Coturnix japonica: one gene and its partner. The protein of the gene in region 1 interacts with the protein of each later gene in a pairwise test. Links are inferred from orthologs where the notes say so. Each region holds a gene or a part of one and is shown in the gene's direction. Other genes may lie near its edges.

The links.
Region 2: the proteins of PLEKHA5 (region 1) and PDZD11 interact in binary tests that used the Homo sapiens proteins (3 or more experiments, as listed by UniProt). The two-hybrid records come from large-scale screens. The link is inferred for Coturnix japonica from reciprocal best matches to the Homo sapiens genes PLEKHA5 and PDZD11.

The regions. Positions count from the first base shown.
Region 1 is NC_029516.1:59,120,454-59,125,002, forward strand, and holds part of PLEKHA5 (pleckstrin homology domain-containing family A member 5), read left to right. Parts: intron 1-859; coding exon 860-940; intron 941-1,074; coding exon 1,075-1,224; intron 1,225-2,980; coding exon 2,981-3,082; intron 3,083-4,165; coding exon 4,166-4,277; intron 4,278-4,496; coding exon 4,497-4,543; intron 4,544-4,549.
Region 2 is NC_029519.1:1,231,004-1,236,180, reverse strand, and holds the start of PDZD11 (PDZ domain-containing protein 11), read left to right. Parts: upstream 1-1,953; 5' UTR 1,954-2,011; coding exon 2,012-2,098; intron 2,099-2,182; coding exon 2,183-2,266; intron 2,267-2,628; coding exon 2,629-2,685; intron 2,686-2,998; coding exon 2,999-3,097; intron 3,098-3,267; coding exon 3,268-3,328; intron 3,329-4,128; coding exon 4,129-4,163; 3' UTR 4,164-5,177. Other genes in the region: chromosome-associated kinesin KIF4A, read right to left, coding at 299-388, 628-818, 1,457-1,694. UniProt on the Homo sapiens protein: Mediates docking of ADAM10 to zonula adherens by interacting with PLEKHA7 which is required for PLEKHA7 to interact with the ADAM10-binding protein TSPAN33.

The DNA.
Region 1 (4,549 bases):
CATAATAATCTTTCCCTTGACATTTGGGTTTGGAATGTACTTCATATAGGTGACTACTAACAGAGATTGATCTGTGAACTTGAGAGTATAGGATTTTTTTTTAAAAAGTTTCTAAGTTGCAAGAAATATTCCATTTTAGGATGAAATTTCAAGTGCTATATGTGTTTAAATGTAAAATGCTACAAGAAAGGAAAAACTCTGTAGATGTAGTTCAAATAGAAGCACAAGTGTACATATCTAGCCATATTTGCATGAATGCACGTAAAAGTAGGCATGCTGATTTAAGGGATGTTACTTTAACGCTCCAATTAAAGTTAGAAAGTAAAAGCAGCAGCACAAACTGAACCAAAAAACTGTAAAAAAAGAAAACAGTTTCAGACTGATTAGAGTGCACTGAACAGTTGCTCCAAACTGGAGCTGAAGGGGAACAGATTTATTTCTAGCCAAGCCTAGATTGGAGCCAAAAGAGCAGAGCACAGTTATCAAAAACCAGCACCTGACAGAAACGATGGGAAGAACTAGCAGTGTGTACAACGTTATATATAATAATGAAGAATATGTTTCTCAAAAGAGTTTTTTGTTAGCTGTTATTAAGTTATAACCATCTAGTTGTAGAGTCATAAATGATATATTTTGAGCAGTACTGTGTCATGTTACAATAACACTTATTTCATAGTACCTTATGGTTTCTTGAGCTTAATTTGAAAATACAACACTGATGCCTTCAGAACTGTAGAATTCATATTTTGTGGTAAAGAAATGTTGTATAGTCTCATGTAATGATTTAATGAAGTTATGTTTTGGTTATTTAAGATATTAAAAACAATTCTAATTGCAGTCATTTTCTGTTGTATATTAGGCTAAGCTTAGCCGTTTATGTGAACAAGATAAAGTTGTACAAGCACTGGAAGAGAAGCTTCAACAGCTACACAAGGAGAAAGTAGGACAATTATATTTATTACCTAAAGTGGATGTTATTTTACATGCTTGTTATCATAACATTGATAACTGAAATGTAATGAAAATCAACCCAATGATGCAGAACATTAAAAATAATTCTCTTTATTATAATAGTACACGCTTGAGCAAGCTTTGCTATCAGCAAGTCAGGAGATAGAAATGAATGCAGATAACCCAGCAGCCATACAAAATGTAGTCTTACAGAGAGATGACTTACAGAATGGACTACTTGGCACTTGTCGAGAAGTATCGCGAGCTACTGCAGTAAGTAATACATTCTTGCTAGTAAGACCCAGTGACCTGTTAAACAGTTATTGTCATGTTTTTGATTGGTTTGAGTTTTTTGTTATTTTTCATTACATTCCAGCAAATCTCAGTTGTCTGTTACTCACGTGTATTTTTGTAAATGGAGTGGAGTGTACTCTCAGCAGGTTTGCAGATAACACCAAGCTGAGCAATGCAGTTCACTCAGTAGAAGAAGAGGATGCCATCCAGAGGAACCTGGACAGCTTAAAGTGTGTGTCCATGAGAACTTAATGAGGTTCATTGAGGCCAAGTGCATGGTCTAGTACTTGGGTCAGAGCAATCCCAGATATATATACAGACTGGGAGAAGTCAATGAGAGCAGTCCTGCAGAGAAGGAATGTGGAGATCCTAGTGGGCAAGAAGCTGGACTAGAGCCAGCAGTGTGTACTTGCAGCCCAGAAGGCTGACTGCATCCTGGCCTGCATCAAAAGACAGGTGACCAGTAGGGAGAAAGAGGTGATGGTTCCCCTCTATTCTGCCCTTGTAAGGCCCCATCTGGAGTACTGCGTCCAGGGTTGGGGCCCCCAGCAAAAGAAAGACACAAAGCTGTTGCAGTGGGTCCAAAGGAGGGCTACTGAGATGAACAAAGGGCTGGAGCACCTCTCTTATGAAGAAAGGTTGAGGGAGCTGGGCTTGTTTAGCTTGGAGAAGGCTCCAGAGAGAACGCATTGGGGCCTTCCAGTACCAAGGGAGCATATAAGCAAAAGGGGGACCAACTTCTTAGGTGGTCTGATTCTGATAGGACAAGGGAGAATTGCTTTAAACTAAAAGAGGAGACATTTAGGTCTGATGTTAGGAAGAAATTCTTCACTTACAAGGTGATGAGGCACTGACACAGGCTGCCCAGAGAAGCTGTGGATGTCCCATCCCTGGAGGTTTCCAAGGCCAGGTGGACGGGGCCCTGGACAGCCTGAGCTGCTGGGATCAACCCTGCCCACTTCAGGGGAGTTGGAGATGAATGATCTTTTAGGTTCTTTCCCATGTATGTTGTAAAAGAGATTGGCTGGATGAGGAAAATGGAAGCATAGGAAACTAAAAGAAATCTTAGAACAGCTCTCAAACTTCTAAATTTATGCTAAATCAAATAAAGGACTTGATCCAGGCTTAGTAAGGGAGAATGACAGAACTGACCTCAAAGATTTCTTTTTGTGCCTTCTTCTGGTGTTTGCATTTTCATGTCGTGTAAAAACAAGTGTATTAGCAAGCCTGAGGTATTCATCTGTAATGTTAAAAGCAAGGTTGGATGACTTAGTTGTCTTGCATAATAAATTGTATATAGATGCACATGCTTTGCACTCATACCTATGTATTCTGTGTGATAAAAGAGACAAATTTACNACCTATGTATTCTGTGTGATAAAAGAGACAAATTTACTTCTGTTTTGTGGGTTTTCTGAAACTGTGGAAGGGCATCTTAGGATCCACACGCCTTCTAATTATAACAGTGTAGTCTGGAGATTTCATCCTGGAATGTCCTTTAGTTTGTGAAAAGATAAAATGCTGTTAGTTTGTACGTCATTCAGTATCATCAGAAAATACTAAAGCTGTTTAATCATGGCATTCTTTAAAACTATGTGTATACTTACTGCCAATCACTATGAATTAATCCCTGGTGTTTCATGCCGTTGAATGAATAAAACTGTCTACCTTATTAATGTTATTTTTTTTACCCTGAGTATGTACACGCAACTCTTTTCTTTTGTCATATACCTAGGAACTGGAAAGAGCTTGGAGAGAATATGATAAACTAGAATATGATGTAACAGCAACAAGGAACCATATGCAGGAGCAACTTGATCGGCTTGGAGAAATTCAGGTCTGGCATAGGTCTTAAAGATACATTTAATGCTTTTTCATTTTCTATGTTTGTGTTCAAAAGTCTACAAAAATGGAAAACAGAAAAAAAGGAGGGGGACGATGTGTGGTCTGGTAGCATATAAGATATAAAAAGAAAGTAAAAGCTCATCAGTTCTGAGGAGGTTTTTAGCTTTTCTCTATATTTTGAAGCTACCATGTAAGTTTTCCTGTGTCCATCTCTTTCTGTTTCAGTGATCGTGTCCCAGATGGAGAAGTTTCCTCAGACCTTCATTGCTATGATAGATATTAAGTGTTCACATAAATCCCTTCTTTTATCTCATGATTTTAAAATGTAGTTATATCACTGTATCAAAATAAATGAAATATTTAAAGTTCAGATGTTAAACATCAGAACCCTTCCTGCTTATCTTATTACTTTATTATTTGTTCCCTTCTCTGGAGAACTGGTCAATAGGTACAAAGTTCTGAATTTCTGAGGTAATCTTTCTGTGACACACAATTGTGTGCATGTGTATCTGGAATAGACAGGTCTGTGTGGTCAACGCTGTGAGGTATCAATGGATGTTAATGGATGTTTTTGCTCTAGGGACTAATTTTCTGCTATGAGAGAGGGATTACAAGGAAACTCAAGAGCTGAGAAATTTGTGTTATTCAGCCCAAAGCATGCATAACCATGAACGCAAATGGGCCTACATTTTATATGTAGTATGCAAACACTATGTTCATCTGCAGCTATTTTCAGATTGGAACTGATGATTCCTTTACTTTCATTGTGTGTAGGTCTTCCTTGGCTTTGCTTTTCTTTGTAAGGAGAAGATGCAATTCCATTAAGTGAAATTTCAGCTTGCAAATTGCTATCAAAATAACTGGCGTGTTTCTAAAATGACTTAATCTGTCCGCTTTTTTCTGACAACATACTGATTTGTTACCTTTTAATGGGAGAGTATCTATCATTATTTCATTTTGTTTTGTTCATTGCAAAAGAATATGAAGTGCTGTCTAGAGAAAGAGGTTTTATTTTTTGCCCCTCCTACAATACATTCTTATTTATCACCTAAACGTGCTGTTTCATTACTGGCAGACTGAGTCAGCTGGGATACAGCGTGCTCAGATTCAGAAGGAACTGTGGAGAATTCAAGATGTCATGGAAGGTTTAAGTAAACATAAACAGCAAAGAAGCTCTTCAGATGCAGGTAAACTGGACGTTTTTCTTTCTTATAGAGTGAGACTGGATCACATGTATTTATACAAGATAAGCATCTCATTTGCTTTTGTGTTTGAAGGAGTCTGCTATTTTAAGTTGACAATTTGTGTATTTGCCTAATAATAACAGGTTATAGTTTGTGTTCATAAAAACTATTTACTGAAAACAATTCTTCTCTTTCCTCCTACCCTCTGCCGCCCCCAAACAGGCATCATGGGATCAAGGACATTTTCTGCTATTAAATATAAAAACGAGGTATGC
Region 2 (5,177 bases), on another chromosome or scaffold:
GCCCTGGAGTACCCACGAGTTCGAGTCTCGACCTGGTTCCTTTCTGCAACAGAAAGTCTGCACCACTGATGTCTCATTACCTCTCACTCATCACATTTCTATATGCAAGTTTAACCCTACTGGTGTTACATTTTAAGTAAACATAAGGACCATCAGCAGTTTGATTTTGAGAGGAAGGAGAAGCTGCAGTGATTTTGTATGCACTAATACAAAGTAGGGCTCAAACAGGTTGACTGTGGTTACACTGAAATATGTCCCCAAACACAGCCCCCAAACTGATTCTGACAGCCCAGCAGACCTTTATGCTTTGATTATCCTCTCGTATATTGATTTGAGGAGACCGTTCTCTCGATGAGCACAGGAGATCAAGAATTTCCTCATTGTAGATCTGAAAGCATCAGAACAGCAGTTGAAAATCAGCAGCTTTTAGAGAAAACAATCTGCACAAAGAAAGGTGTACAACTAGATTGAAATCAGGGCTAAACGCACGTGAGGGTGCACTCATCTTGCTTTTAGAGTACTCAGATAAGATCTCATGTAGTCAGATGTAGACCTGGACATACTAAAAACCCGCTTTATATGCAGTTCGTACATTTCCAATAGTTTGAAAACCAAAACCACATTTACCTCCAAATAAGAGACTTTGAGGACGAATTCCCAGTCCTGCCTCTGCTCTTTCTCCATAAACAGCTGCGTGATTACACGAGGGATAACCCCCATGTTGGGATCGTGCTCCTGACTGGCAGTATAAGTACCTCCCATAGAGTATGTTTTTCCAGACCCTGTCTGCCCATAGGCCAGGACAGTAGCATTATATCCTGAGGGAACAAAGAATGCCCACATCAGGTGGTGAAGAAGAAACTAGAAGAAACTTTGACAAGAAAAGCAGCACTCCAGGAAATGCAACGTTGATTTATACAACGTGTATGCACAGATCACATTTAGCAACATTAAGAAATGGATTGAATGAAAAGAAAATAATAAGTACATCAGTACTTTAAAGACAAACAAACAGACAACTTGTTCTGCTGCTTCACTAGAGCCAGTGGGAGCTCTCTATCGTTCTAACTGCACTTCAGCGACAGCAACAATTAAGGATGTCTATGAACTAATGAATTCAAAGGACAAATGGGGATTGCTCTGAACAAAAAGAGACCTATGTTAAGTGTTAGGGGGAATTCTCAGAGGCTGGTGAGAGCCAACTCTGCTCTCACCATGGCCACAGATGGGTTCTGTACAGCCTGAACTGGGAGGCAACCAGTCTGCAGTGCAGAGCCTGGGGCTGGGTGAGCTTTAAGGGCCCCTCCTCACCCAGCCGTTCTGCGATTCGACCGTTCTATTCAATCAGGCAGAGTTCGGCCCTTCCGAACCGAGTTCGACCTTCCGAACCGAAGCAAACAGCAGCGAACGGGGACTGAAGGCACCTCCCAGCCCCCCCCCCCCATGTCAGCCCTACCTTTGAAGATGCCTTGTAAGAGCGGAGCGACGGCGGTGTTGAAGACCTCCTCCTGCTCAACCGCCGGGTCGAACACGTAGTCGAAAGTGAAGGCCTTGTCGCTCCCCACGATCACCTGCGGCTCCCCGGGCACGAAGCTCAGGCACATCTTGCAGCCCTCTCTCGTCTCCTTCGGCACCAGCGGGCGGCAGCGCAACGCCACCTTCACCGGAATCCCTTTCTCCTCTTCTTGCGCCATTTCGGGCCAACACAGAGCGGGACGAAAAACGCAGAAGAAGCTTGCGAGGCTCTCGGTGCAGCAGGCAAGGAGCGGCCCTAGAAGGCACGGAGTGGCCCTAGAAAGCAGGGAGAGGCCGGGAGCTGCCCGCAGCCCCGCACCGCGCTCAGAGCCGCCTCCCCTTGCAGTGCAGATGGCGGCTCCCCAACAGCCCGCTTTCAAACCTTGGCCGCGCTCGCTTCGCCAATCACGGAGCTCAACGTCATCACTGCGCGCCGCGCCGCGCGAGGGGAGGGACCGAGGGAGGCCGGAAGGGCGCGGCGGGGCCGGTCGGCGGCATGGAGGGCCGGCTGCCGTACGATGACTTCCCGGTGGTGTTCCTGCCGCCCTACGAGAGCCCGCCCGCCTGGGTGCCGCCTCACGAGGTGAGGGAAGGCTCCGAGGGGGGTTCCGGCGCGGTGGGGCTCGGTTGGGGGGCAGCGCCTCAGGCCCGCCGCTTTGTTTTGCAGAGGGTTTATCACCCCGACTACAACAACGAGCTCACCCAGTTCCTGCCCCGCACCGTCGTCCTTAAGAAGCCGCCCGGGGCTCAAGTGAGTGCTGCGGGACCACGCTGCGGCCCGGCCCGCGGCACTGTGCGCCTCCTTGTTCTCTTTGTATCGTATTGAATTCACCTTGTCTTCCCCTAAATTGGTAAAGCTGTAAGGGCGTGATAAGCTCTGACTGAGTGCAAGAGAGTGACTCACCCTTCAAGAGCACGTAGAGGGTAACCCTGGGTGGTCAGTAGTGTGCTGGGCCCTGGGGGAGGTGAGTGGGATTACTACCCTGCTGTGTGTGGAGGGGGGAGGAAGCTGTAGGGTATGGTGATATCGTGTGAGAGGAGCACAAGGGAACAGCCCAGGGATGGGATTGCTGTCAAAGTGATGTTTCACTGCGGATCTGGTTTGTTTCATAGCTGGGCTTCAACATCCGGGGAGGAAAGGCCTCGCAGCTGGGGATCTTCATCTCTAAGGTGTGTTTGTGCTCTCCTTCCTCCTTTGTGTTCTGTCTGTTCCTTTGGGTGTTGCTGAGCCAGCAGGGTGTGTTTGGAGCCCGTCATCTGTCCTTATATGAATCTCCAGACTCAGAGGTGTAATCTGCCTCTTTCCAAGTAGCACACAGGCAATGCTGCACCCTTTGCTTACCCTTCCCTTGCCTATGGGGAACCCTACAGTCCCTCTTCTCCAAATGATCCCCACCCCATGTGAACACATTATGCAAGCACTCAGACCTGTGATACTGACCATAGAGTGTCAGCACTGTTGCATCTGCTCTGCCTTTTGCAGGTGATCCCTGACTCAGATGCACACAGAGCTGGGCTGCAGGAAGGAGATCAGGTGCTGTCTGTAAATGATGTGGATTTCCAGGACATCGAGCACAGCAAGGTGAGTACTCATGTTCCCCAGCATGTGCTCTCCTCCCAGGCAGGAAGAGGGGAAGTGCTGCATACACCTTCTCCTTCACCAGCTCAGCTGGGGGCACTGTGTAACTGATGCACCACTGTTTCCCATCCTCCAAAACAGTTTGGGCATTGATCAACTCTTTCTACTTTCAGGCTGTGGAGATCCTGAAGACGGCCCGTGAAATCACCATGCGTGTGCGTTACTTCCCTTACAGTAAGTGCCTGCTAGCTCCAAATCTGGTCACCTAGCACCATTTCTCCTGGGTTAACAGTCTGCTCTGCATCCCTGCTGATCCACCTGGGCTTAGCAGTGATGAGTCTGAAATCATAGGTGTTGTCACACAAGCAGTCTTCAGCTGAGAAAACACTGGGCTTTGATTTGGGGATCAGAAAAGTTATCAAGTCAAAACAGCGGGGATTAACTTCAACTGATCAAGCATAGAATCTTGTAGAGCAGGACTTAAAAAAAACACTGCTAAAAGCCAAGCTGGTTCCTCATGGAACCTCATAAGAACCTGCTTATCCTTGAATAACACAGGAACTAGTTTTGTTGCTAGTGGACCTATTCTGATGGTAGATAGACACTGCCTGTGTTTTCAGTCCATCTCTATAAGTATATTTAAGTATTGCCAAGAGGGAAAAACTTTTTAGCTATTGATTTCTGAACCCATAATGTCCAGAAGTACTCAAAGGAAGAAAGGAGGAGCAAGGAAAAGTCAAATGAAGCCAAACAAGGATTCTTCATAAAATTGGAAACTGGCCCTTAAATTTTAAGTGTAGAAAAATAAGCAGCAAGGGAAGAGAGAACTTTAAAAACGAGCACTGAAATAACTTGAAACAACCAGCTGGGGTGCGCTGTTTTAAAACCAGCTGCTGTCTATGAAGGCAGCAGACACTGTTATCTATTAATGAAGTATAAGCAGAATTTGTTTTTCTTGTAATATTTTGGCTAGTTTCTTACCATCTGCAACTGCTCTTCTGTCACTTCAGCCTTGTGTTCTTTTTCTTGTACAGATTACCAGCGACAGAAAGAAAGAACTGTTCACTAAATGGCAGCTGCCTGCTGTGTCCTGTCTGGAGGAACTGTCCTGCAAGAAACTCTCCACTACCTTTCCTCAACATCTGAGATGACGTATTAAGTTTCAGTTGTCACTGGAGGCACAACTGCGCAGGTATCAGCTCTGCTTCCTGCCTGAAGGAACACCATAGTCTGTTTAGCTGGAAGATGGATGGGGCCTCGGTCTGTTCTCCTGGAACTGGATGATGAAACAAGTTGGTGTCGCTGGCATGGAAGTGGGTACCAGGGGGCAGCTTGTCCTGCCAGAACTATGCTTCTATTCTAGTAGGATATAACTTACTTAAAAGGAGTGCACTGCTGGTTCTGGATCCAGCCCATGTTGTTAGGATGTAATGCCAGGAGTGCCCGAGAACACTTTAGCAGAGCATGGCCTTCTCTATGAGATCAATCTTTTCACTTCTCTGGTGATATGAAGTCTTTTCCTTCTCCACTATTCTACCTCTGCTTTACACTACTGGGTTTGCTTGGTACTCAAATAGGAGCAAAATCCAGTCAAACTCAATGCACAACTCTAGCTGCACTAGTCTGTCAAGGCATGTGTGTCCCTTGTTGCTGCTTACCCACCCCCAAGATACAGGACCAAGATGCTCAGAGCATGTTTTTAAACTGCAGTAACACATAGTCGGGTTCCCTCATGTGTAGTGCTTGCACTGTTAAAAGTTTCACTTGCTGAACTTGCTTCCTTCACTTGGCACAGCCCCATCCCTTTCAGGTGCTCCCTGCCCCTTTGAGGTAAACTCCCTTTTCCTCTGCCTTGGGTATCTTCTCTCCTGCTGGGACAGTTCACCCTCCTGCTGCTGAAATGGTGATATGGTAGCTGTTCTACTGAGAAGGGGGACAAAGCCCTGCTGTGCCTTGTGCTGGGAGGGCACGGATGAAAACACTACAGTTTATCAGCAAAGCTGGGCACAAACATAGGATAGTATCATACTTTAAATGGTATTAGGACAGCCCTTGCTCTGGCTTTCTACACGGTGTTTTCCAC